Tribolium castaneum: one gene and its partners. The main gene of each other region encodes a partner of the protein of the gene in region 3 in a complex. Links are inferred from orthologs where the notes say so. Each region holds a gene or a part of one and is shown on either strand. Other genes may lie near its edges.

Region 1 (3,046 bases), on a different chromosome or scaffold from region 3:
CAGCGAATCGAGTGCTGATTTCGGTAAAGGTATTAGTGTTGGATTTCGGACGAGTTTTTATTCAATTGATTTGTTTCTAGATAAAACAGTAACGATCATTGAACCGTGCCCCACCAAGACTTCAGTGTTAGCCTTGGGTGTGACTTGTGCCTTATTAGTTCTACTTTACATCAGTACGCTGTTCTGTTACTACATGAAGAAGTGGTTAAATCCCGGGAAACACATCGCTTGAAGATTTAGAGACACTTTGGTGCTTTAATCAAGTTTGATCTTTCGGTTGAGTTGACGAGCAGCATTGTTAGTTCTGTGATATCGTTAACTCGAGATGAGATATCAAATAGGGAATTCCCCGACTCTACATTATGCAATATGTATTTTTTAAGGATTTTTTTTCGGGAAGGTGGCGGCCTTGGTGATGGAAGCTTTATTTTACCGTTGCAAAAGTTATACTTTCTTGATCTCTTATTAAAACTAATTTGCACTGACTCTCGTTCCTAGAGCAAATTTTGTAACGGTAAACAGTCTAATTCGTGTACTTATTTATTTTATTTATTTACTTTTTTGTATATATCTCGACTAGGCTAACATTATTTATATCGATTATTTTATACACGTTCTCAAGTCGAATAATAGACATTTTTTATAAGAAAAAACTATTTATTATGAATTTTCCAACATGCTTAACCTATCCTGAGTCAAAATTGCTACATCGACCATAGCTTCAGGAATCAATAATTCAGCCACTGAATATTTCTGTGATTCTTCAAAAGCATACAAAATGCTAGTATCGTACAGCATCATTTTACTTTGAATAAGCGCCAAAATACAGTTTCGAAGACGTCCAATTGTTTCTCTTTCTGGCCTTGAAACGACCTAAAAACACCACAGTAGCAAAAAAAAACAACAAAACTATTGTGAGACACAACTTGTTCCAAATTTTGCACAAAGCCACCAGCGTTATCCTCAGCATTTGAAACAGTTGGATAAATCCAAATAAACCCATTATTGCCCAAAATAATACTAGCCCCAACATAGAAATTGTGAAAATGTGTTTTGCTCCTTTTAATGAGCGAGGGAAAGACTTTAACTAAAATACCTTGAGAAAGCTACAATCAAAAATGAACGTATAATCAAAACGTAACGAAAAACACGAGACAAACTTTTCCATATTTCAAACTTCTAGTATGTAAAGATAAAGAACCATCTGAATAAACGCTCTGTACTTCGGCACTTATAAGATCGCCCTCTTGAAGATATTGTCTCATCATATGCTCGTCTTCTGCTGATCTACGCCGCTGAAATTTAATATTGCCAACTTACTTGCAAAATTAACGACCAAAAAAATCTTTTATGTACCAGTTCCCCTCCTGGTAAATTAACGGAAGACAACAACAAGACCGAATCCAGACGCGAATTCGTATCAACTTTCCAGCGTTTTTGTTGGACTTCTGTGACTCGTCCAACCACCACATCACCCACTTCACCATTATATCGACTTTTTAACGGACGAATCGAAATCAAATTATTTACTTGTTCCTTAACTCCAGCAACTGATGATTTTAAAAAACCCTCTTCTTCGTACGTACCATGCCCTCTATTTAGAAAAATCGCAAAATTTCAAAAAAAAACACGAGACAAACCTAACCTCATAAATTCATTTTGCTCCGTAATCACTTGTCCCGGAGTAAATATCTTTGGAACTCGACGGTTAACAGCAATTGAGGGGTTGATGCGATGAGCGGCAAGGCGTATGTGAATTTTTTGCGGCATGTTCTTGCAAAACACTCGAACCGCATTTGAGATTAGAAACAACAATTACTGGGTTAGGCAAGCAACAATACGCAAGTACGCAATCTATATAAAATTGTGACTTCTCTGTTATCAATCTGAATTATTATTGAAACTTGTTTTTAATTTTCTATTTTGTCGGTTTTATGTGTAATTTAATTATTAAAAGGAAATTTTTGTTTTTTGGTATTTTTAATGACTGTTGTGGTAGTCGTGCATGTCATTTGAAACATGTCATATGTGTTTTGACAATTGATAATTTTATTTAAGAAAAAATAATTGTATAATACCGGTCAGGTGAGGCAAAATTTTCTTTTCCACATTGAAATGAAAAAATTTTAAATTTGTTATTACCATAATGTAAGGCGTATTAGGAAATCAAAATTAAATTATTCTAACCTCACTTTTGCGATTTGTCTTACACACAAGTTAAAATTTATTGAAAATAATTCGTATATTGTTGTGTATTATAATAAATTGTGGTTCTCAAGGGGGAAATGATTATAATTCACAATGAATACGGGATCAACACAAGACATCGTAATTGAAGTTCTGCAAAGAGCCTCGAGTCAAAATCCAGAAGTGTTAAAACCGGCTGAAGCCAAATTACGGGAATGGGAAACTCAACCTGGATTTTACACAGTTTTATTTGTACGTATTGGGCAAAAAACACAATTAAATAATACACCATTCTTCAGAATGTTTTATCTAACCACTCGCTTGATATAAACGTACGGTGGATTGCAGTTTTGTATATAAAAAATGGTATTGAACGATATTGGAGAAAAAACGCACCAAAGTAAGTCACGCAAGTTGTAATGTACCTAACTAAAGTTAATGTCCATTTCTAGCGCTATTTTAGAGGCAGAAAAACAAAACATTAAACACGGTTTAATTTTAAGTTTTAACGAACCCGTTAGTCAGATTGCGGTACAAAGAGCGGTTTTAATTTCGAAAATTGCACGAATTGATTGTCCGAAAGAGTGGCCCGAATTATTTCCGACTTTACTACAAGTAATTGAAAGTCCTGATTCTCTAGTCCAACATCGAGGATTTTTAACTCTTCATCATGTAGTTAAAGCCATTGCTTCGAAACGGTTAACAGGCGATCGCCGTTTTTTCCAAGAGTTTTCCAGTAATATTTATTCGTTTGTGTTGAATTTATGGAATAATTTCACCGAACAATTTATGAATGATGTAATGAAAGGCGCAGCTTCGCAACTAGTTCTTACAAATTTGGAAAAAGCACTATTGACTT
Region 2 (2,979 bases), on a different chromosome or scaffold from region 3:
TTGAAATATATAGAAAGACGAAATTTAATTGTAAAAAAATTTATTCATCTTTTAAAAACTGCTCATCCGCTTTATTGAAGTCTTCGCTTAAACTTTGGGGCACTTTAAGTGTCTTCAAATCATCTTCTCCAATTTCCTCCTCGGTGCGTATCAAAATATCGACCAAATTTTCACACGCTAAAAGCACCTTTCTGTCCTTTTCCCACTTGTGCAACTCGCGCAAAATCACATAAGTGTTTCTCTCTCTGATAAATTCTCGATTTTTTCTCTTGGCACATAACTGGGTCAAAGCCTCCAGTAACATGCACCTGATATCTGGATCTTCTTCACGCTGTTTCTCCTCCGGGAGATATTGCAGTTCAAGGGGGAGCTTGTCGTTGTCTTCGTCGTCAAATTCCTCGTTTCCGGCCAGGGGGCGGAGCAGCCGGGGCAAGATATCGACATGGGGGCCCAAGAGCAGCTCATGACACTCGGGGTCAAATGTGCAGTTACGCAGGGCCCCCACGACGCCCCCGCGCCTCACGGCCGACTCCTCGAATTCAATGAAAGGCACGAGTTTGTGGATCCGGTCCAGGAAGCGTCTCCGGACGCGCCCACTTTGCGACAAGTTCGAAAAAAGGGGGCTCAAGTAGTGGAGGTTAGCCCCCGCTTTATTGTACTGTTTTTTCGTGAAAATGTCAATCAAATCGTCCAAACTTGCGCTTTTCTCAAGCGCATCAATCACTTTATCGTGATTGGCCCGAGATAAGTTCGATAAAATCATGCAGGAAAAATCGGCGATTTTACTCATGGGGTCCGTCACGAATTTAACAACAGTCGAAGTAATGTCACTCGGGGGGCTCTGTAAAGGGGGGCACCCCACACTCGTGTCCAAATCAAGCAATGCCAGGGCCCCCTTGTGATCAGCAGAGACATTAACAAGGCAAAGTGCCGAGTCTTTGACAATTGTGGCGTTATTATCACTCAAAAGTGTGATTAAGGAGACCAGAAGTGACGGTGTGTTGATTAATGTGGCAATTCCGTCCGCATTCCCCGTCAAACCTACAAAAAAATTACAAAAAACAAGTCTAACCTCGAACCCTATTACCCAAAATGTGCCCCAAAGCCACCGATTTGAGGTCCAAACGGGCCCCCAGATGCACAAACTGCAACAATTCGGCCACGGAATCACCCATTATCAGGCTAAAGCCCCCAAAAAAAAACAAAACACGAGGGGTGACAGCTGTCAAAAAAGTGGGGTTAGGTGGCAAAAAATCATTCTAATAAGTAAGGCATTATTTTTTTAGGTTTATCTCTACGTTGTATGTATATACAGGGTGTAATGAGTAGTTAAATAAACATAACATAAACCAGTTTATTTAATTCTGTAGCCAAATTAATGGTCGTAATTGGTAATTAATGTTAATTAATGAATGAGAAAGTAAAATTTTGCAAATTCGTTTTTTGACAATTGACAGTGACACTTGACGTAACCTCAAAAAAATCAAAAATTTCGTTTTTGTGCTGATTTTTCGCATGTTATAGCTCCTTGTGTGCCTTTGATTGGCTTTGAACGTCGTCTGCCGTGATAATAATATTGACAGTAAAAGGAACACGCAGTTTTTGAAATTTCTTCATGTCAATTGACATTTGACTTAACCTCAAAAAAAATCAAAAATTTCGTTTTTTGTTGATTTTGGGCATGTCATCGCCCCTTGTGTGCCTCCCGGGGCAGCGGCTGTGCCTGTCGGACCCCTCGCACGTGTCCGGTCAAGGCACGTACGAGCGTGGGGGCTACATCTACGCCACCCTTGCCGGTGTTGTGGACATTGTCCCCAAAGACAACGTCCAGATCATTGAAGTGCGCAGTTCCGGGCAGGAAACGCTCGTGCCGTCACAGGGCGACATCGTCACAGCGCAAATTCACACAATCACGCAGCAGTTTTGCAAATGCTACATTAAGTGTGTCGGGGATAAGGTTTTGGGGCGGCAGTATCGCGGGATTTTGCGGAAGGAGGACGTGCGAGCGACGGAGAAGGACCGCGTGGAGATTTACAAGAGTTTCAGGCCCGGGGACGTGATTCTGGCGAGGGTTTTGCCGATCACGGAAGCTCACACTTATCAGTTGTCCACGGCTGAGAATGAGCTGGGGGTCGTGACGGCGCACTCGGAACATGGGGGGCTTATGGTGCCTGTGAGCTGGACGGAGATGCAGTGCTCCAAGACGTTTGTGAAGGAGGCCAGGAAGGTTGCAAGAGTTGTGCCAGAAAGCGTGCAAAATGATGTGAAATAATGTTCAATAAATTGTATTTTTGTTTATTTTAATAAACCCTTTTGCGTCCCTTAAAAGTGCAAAAAAGTTAATTGAACTATTAGAGATAACCCTATAAAGTTTATAATCGTTGGAAAGCTCTTTGGATTATCTATTTTTTTCAAAAATGATTATTGTTCTCCGACTAATAGTTTTCGAGAAAATTGCAAGCAAAAGCAAAAATTGGAAACATTAAAAAAATCATAACTAAAAAACTATCGGGAATTTGGCGATTTTCTCGATGTCAATCGATTTCCCGGATCATTTTGCATAGGTAAGGATCAAAATAGTTCCACTTTTTCGAATAGTTTAGCCGTAATTCGATAAAAATTGAAAAACTTAAAAAATCACGCTGCTTCCTGAAAAACGTGCTCAAAAAACTTAAAAATAAACGCAGGCGCGAAAATTTGAATTTGAACCTAATTCTTTAAATATCTCGGAAACTAAGCGTTGGGCGCAATTTTGTTCTATGAGAGAAAAGATGCAACTTGATGTAGTCTAAGCGACGGTCTGGTTGAAATTGTAATTTTCAATAGTCATTTTGCTATCTCTTTAAGGAGCCATAAAAGACCTACACATTTTTGTGTTTTTGTAATGTCCAGTTCAGGCGGTGAAGTTTGAGGGGTCACTCGATGGGGTTTATATTAGTTTGAAAAACCCACCCTTATATTTTTTTTCAACTTTTATTA
Region 3 (4,402 bases):
TCCACCATAAAAATGTTTCAAAATTTTATAAAACTTAGAATAGTTTATATTTTCACTTTGTGGTTAAAACGCGTAGTGTTTAAAATAAACGTTTGGTGTGTCAAGTTTTGTTAGTCAAAATTTTGAATATAATAGTCTGTTTAGAGCAATTTTTCGAAATGTTTTAAAAATATGAATACACAGGGTGATCCCAGAGATTCGAAAATACTAAAAAATTAATCTTTTTACAAAAAGCGTAAATACCAAGCCCCTGGCCCACCTAAACTATATAATTTTCAAGTATACAGATTGTTTCCGAAATTTATATAGATGTAATACAAACTTATGTTTTTTTTGCTTTTGCATTTTTAGATGTAGCTTTTAACACTAACGTTTTTTAGCTAATTTTTTATAGGCCAATTTTACTTAGTTTTTTAAAATAATTTATTCTTCGACACTGTCAAAATTTACGGTTTTTCTCCTGTGTAAGGAAGTTTTGACAACTGTTTGGCATTTCTCAGTACGAAACGTCAGAATATTTTTAACAAATTTAAAGCAATTTTAAGCCTTGCTGAGTCTATTTCGAAAAATAAAATGTTGTATTCAACTCGTTTTTGTGTAAATCGGTTCTTTTATTTCGCCTCGTGGATGATAAACCACTCGTTTTCACTCGTGGTTTAAAAATCCACTCGTGAAATAAAGCGTCCGATTTACACTCAAACTCATTAAATAAATAACTATTAATTTTGACAAAAACAAGCTTTTTAAAAAATGTTACAAAAAATTAAGAATTCTCGAAAAGTAGGATTTTCACCGATTTAAAGAAAAAAGTTTAAACTTAAAGAATACATTTTTTTTAACTCACTGCATTCAAAAAAATAAAAAGATGAAGAGGTTTGTTGTAAGTTTAATAATTTAAAAAATTTTAATGGAACAACTTACCTTTAATTTTTGTATCTAAAAGAACTTTAAAATGTATTTATGGTGAATCTTTAAAACCCCAACAAATCATCCGTGATAGAGTTACTATAGTTACTATTGTCAAGAATAATTAAAATTGACTTTAAGGCTTAACTACACCGGTTCGGCTTATAAATAAAGCTTAACAAAGCTAGGCTTACAGGTATGTAGAGTTTAAATAAATCGAGTTGCACTGTGATTTTATCTGTTAATCCGACAATTGCCAGTCAATTAGTTGTCAATAGCACTCAATAATTTACAAATAAGGAGAAATGTAGATTTTTTATTACTGCTATCAAGAGTAAAAAATAATTCAAAGAAATTAAAAATAAAAAGTACTTGCTTAAGTTTTTAACTTTGTTATAAAAAAAAGTTTTGCTGTAGAGACGACTAAAGAGAGCTAAATGTGTAAACTTTCTTGTTTAGATATAACGTACCAACAAAAATTTAGGGTATAGCTTAGGTATATTAGTATAATATTATATAACTAAGCAGAATCGGCCAATCCAACTTTACATAAAAATCATCAGTATTAAAAGTTGCGTTCAAAAATACAATCACATTTAGAGTGCTCCATTTAAAAAACATAAGTTTGTATTCTACAGGGTGAGTCAATAGCGGATTATTTCTGACATGTCCTAAGATGCAACCAAAAATAAACTTACCACTTGAAGACTGACCATAAGGAAATTTTAGCAAAACGGTTAAAACAAATTTGACATTTTGATTGCCCAAACAATGTAATCGTGGATTAACTTTGAGATTTTTTAATGATTTCCAATATGGTTTGCTGGAATCAGCAGTATTATATATAATTGATTGCATATTAACAAAAATCGGTAAATAACCCACTATTGAGTCATCCTGAATTTCATTTCTGAAATACTCTATATTTGAAAATAATAATTTAGTTAATTAATTTAATTAATTTAGATCTGCAAATTTTATAAAGAAAAAGATTAATTTCCTAACGTTTAAGTCATTAATGGACTTTTTCAAGTCGCTGAGATTTTTACTCCAATATCTGATGTAAAACAGAAAAATGACTTACTCTTGCCTGTCTTCATATTCTTCTAAAAATATGGCCAACGGTTTCAGCGAATTTGGTTTTTCCGTAATCCTCGGAGACCAAGGCGTCTTATTCCTGTTATCAATTTGGTCCTTGAAAAATTTCTGGGGCCTAATAATATTCTTGGCGGTAATCAGTTTGATACAGTTCTGGCCACTTGACTGAAAGTACGTCGTTAAAAAAGCCCAACTGAAAGTGAAAATTGCACTACCTCAGGAACAACCGAACTCACAGTAACAGTGGCAGCGGTTTGCCGATTCCAAGACCCATTCACAGGCAACTGGGCGCTGACCGTTTGCAACACCACTGGTGCAACCACCGTTTTGCGAATCCCGTTCATTTCGTCGATATTATTAGCAACTTTTTCAAGAATTATATCATTTGCCTCAATCACAAGCTCGATTTTCTCGTCCAAAACACGGTTCCTTAGATTACTGTCTAGATCATTGCAACGCATAACTTGGTTCATTAAACGCAAGACGTGATTGCCTTCCACTTTCATGATTTCTTTGAAGGAGTCGGAAATGTTGTAAAAGTCCCAGTCGCGACCCGACGGTAACGCATTGGAGTGCTTGATCGCCTCCATTAGGACCTTAAAGCCGTCCTGAAAGCCCCACGTTAGGACATAACCTCAAAAATACCAAAATGAGCAACCTTCGTAAACTGCTCCATGGACGAGTAGCCCGGGATAATCTCCGAGTCTTTACTTGCTCCCTCAGGGTGCTCCTGAGCTTTGTCACCCATTTTAAGCTCCAATAATTCACTTGTTCACTTTCATAACATAACCACAACTTTTGACAAGTGACAGACGACAAGAAGTTGTAATGGAGGGGGATTTTGAAAAAATATTTTGGAGGATTGAATTTTTTAAAATTCCTTTTGCCGTTTTTATTTATGGTTTCATTTCATTGGAACCAAAAACTGTTAATTTGAACGTAAGGGAGTATTAATTTGAAACACGATACGCAAATGGTGCGAAGCCTCCCACTTTGGAAGTAAAGTTTGAGCGAATGCAATTACCATGAATGGTATGTAATTGCGTTTTAAAACTACTGAAACTGCTTTCTGAATGTTAACAACAAACTTCTAAAGTTACAGAAATAAGAGGTCAACAAGTTTGGTTTGATTCTGATTTAAGTAAAAATGTAATCGTTAATAACACACGTAATCAACATTTGCAATAACAATTAGCGCCTCTGGTTATTTAGCAAAATGTCTCCGGAATACACCGAAATGGTGGCGGCGATAGCCTTTGGGGTCTTGTCGGCAATTTTTGTGAGTGCTTTCGTTGTCCTTGTAATAATATGCAGAAGACAGCGGCTTTACTACAAGTCCACGTATCTGGACAACCAGAACGAAATGTCTCGGTACGTCCACCCAAAAGTTAACAACAAACAATAATTCCGAATTCTAGGCCCGAAGTGATGCTAATTGAGCCCGAAAAAGCCGAACTAGAGTTGGGGGAAGTCCAGTTAAACCCAAACCTTGAGCAAATCCTCGCTGACGAACAATGGATTGACGACGCCACTGGTCTGATCCCCCATTGCCTCTCGATTTTGAAAACTTGTAGGTTCCTAACGGAGCGCCTAACTGCACTGGCAATGGGCACAACTCAGGCCTCGGGCAGCGGCCTCTCCCTTATTGTCGAAGTAAAAAATAAAAACTCGTACCAACAAATTTTAATATTTAATTTCAGAGCGCTAAGAGAATTTCAAGCAGAGTGGACGACATGGTCCGAAGTATGTACCCCCCTTTGGACCCCCGATTGTTGGAAGCCCGAGCTGCAGCTTTGTCTTTGGCAGTCAGTCATTTGGCCCTCATTGCGAAATATGAGTGCGGACAAAGAGACAAGAGTTTTAGTTGGATTGACAAGTCTTTGGCCGAAATGGACGGACACATGGTGGTACGTATAGGAAAAAAAAAGCGCAAGTTCAGGAAAGTGTTGCAGGTTTTACGAGAGGCTGCAGTCACTCAGGAGGCTTCAGGCAAGATACAAAGCGTCATAAACGCAAGTTATAACACCAGTGTTTAGAAATTCATGAACAACGTATTTAAGTAAGATAAAACCACAGCGTCCTTGATTAATGAAGGTTTCCTCCTATGTGGCGCCATCTGTTAATTTTTTCTCTTTATTACCATGGTTACGAAGTGGGTTCAAATGCGTGAGTTCAAACGTGGTAGAGAAATATATATCCAAATATAGAAACAGAATAAAGAGTCGGGGTTTCCCCACAAAGATACATTGGCTTTCTTAAAATTGCGTTCTTTTCCAATGCAGGCTACAAATTTTAGTGTTGAATCTTATTTATGATGCCGATGATTGTGGAAAATAATGTAGGTAAACAGTTCCTCGAAAAATTATAGCTTCATTTTGGAGTTAAAAATTCTTTAATT

What was found.
Region 1: Rrp6 (region 3) and Rrp4 share a complex: the UniProt entries of both Caenorhabditis elegans proteins name them as parts of the RNA exosome complex. The link is inferred for Tribolium castaneum from reciprocal best matches to the Caenorhabditis elegans genes crn-3 and exos-2.
Region 2: Rrp6 (region 3) and Csl4 share a complex: the UniProt entries of both Caenorhabditis elegans proteins name them as parts of the RNA exosome complex. The link is inferred for Tribolium castaneum from reciprocal best matches to the Caenorhabditis elegans genes crn-3 and exos-1.

Annotation. Positions count from the first base shown.
Region 1 is NC_087397.1:170,245-173,290, forward strand, and holds Rrp4 (exosome complex component RRP4), read right to left. Parts: upstream 1,852-3,046; 5' UTR 1,771-1,851; coding exon 1,646-1,770; intron 1,595-1,645; coding exon 1,357-1,594; intron 1,296-1,356; coding exon 1,161-1,295; intron 1,107-1,160; coding exon 927-1,106; intron 874-926; coding exon 661-873; 3' UTR 637-660; downstream 1-636. Other genes in the region: uncharacterized protein tyn, read left to right, coding at 1-29, 81-232; Impbeta11 (importin-11), read left to right, coding at 2,302-2,439, 2,487-2,587, 2,640-3,046. UniProt on the Caenorhabditis elegans protein: Non-catalytic component of the RNA exosome complex which has 3'->5' exoribonuclease activity and participates in a multitude of cellular RNA processing and degradation events. Involved in regulation of antisense ribosomal siRNA production.
Region 2 is NC_087401.1:17,299,360-17,302,338, reverse strand, and holds Csl4 (exosome complex component CSL4), read left to right. Parts: upstream 1-1,381; 5' UTR 1,382-1,468; intron 1,469-1,524; 5' UTR 1,525-1,681; coding exon 1,682-2,272; 3' UTR 2,273-2,328; downstream 2,329-2,979. Other genes in the region: protein HGH1 homolog, read right to left, coding at 41-1,041, 1,088-1,175. UniProt on the Caenorhabditis elegans protein: Non-catalytic component of the RNA exosome complex which has 3'->5' exoribonuclease activity and participates in a multitude of cellular RNA processing and degradation events. Involved in regulation of antisense ribosomal siRNA production.
Region 3 is NC_087398.1:13,230,748-13,235,149, forward strand, and holds the start of Rrp6 (exosome complex component 10 homolog), read right to left. Parts: upstream 2,926-4,402; 5' UTR 2,753-2,925; coding exon 2,663-2,752; intron 2,613-2,662; coding exon 2,220-2,612; intron 2,170-2,219; coding exon 1,991-2,169; intron 1-1,990. Other genes in the region: transmembrane protein 98, read left to right, coding at 3,221-3,375, 3,423-3,657, 3,705-3,911, 3,957-4,040. UniProt on the Caenorhabditis elegans protein: Catalytic component of the RNA exosome complex which has 3'->5' exoribonuclease activity and participates in a multitude of cellular RNA processing and degradation events. Involved in apoptotic DNA degradation.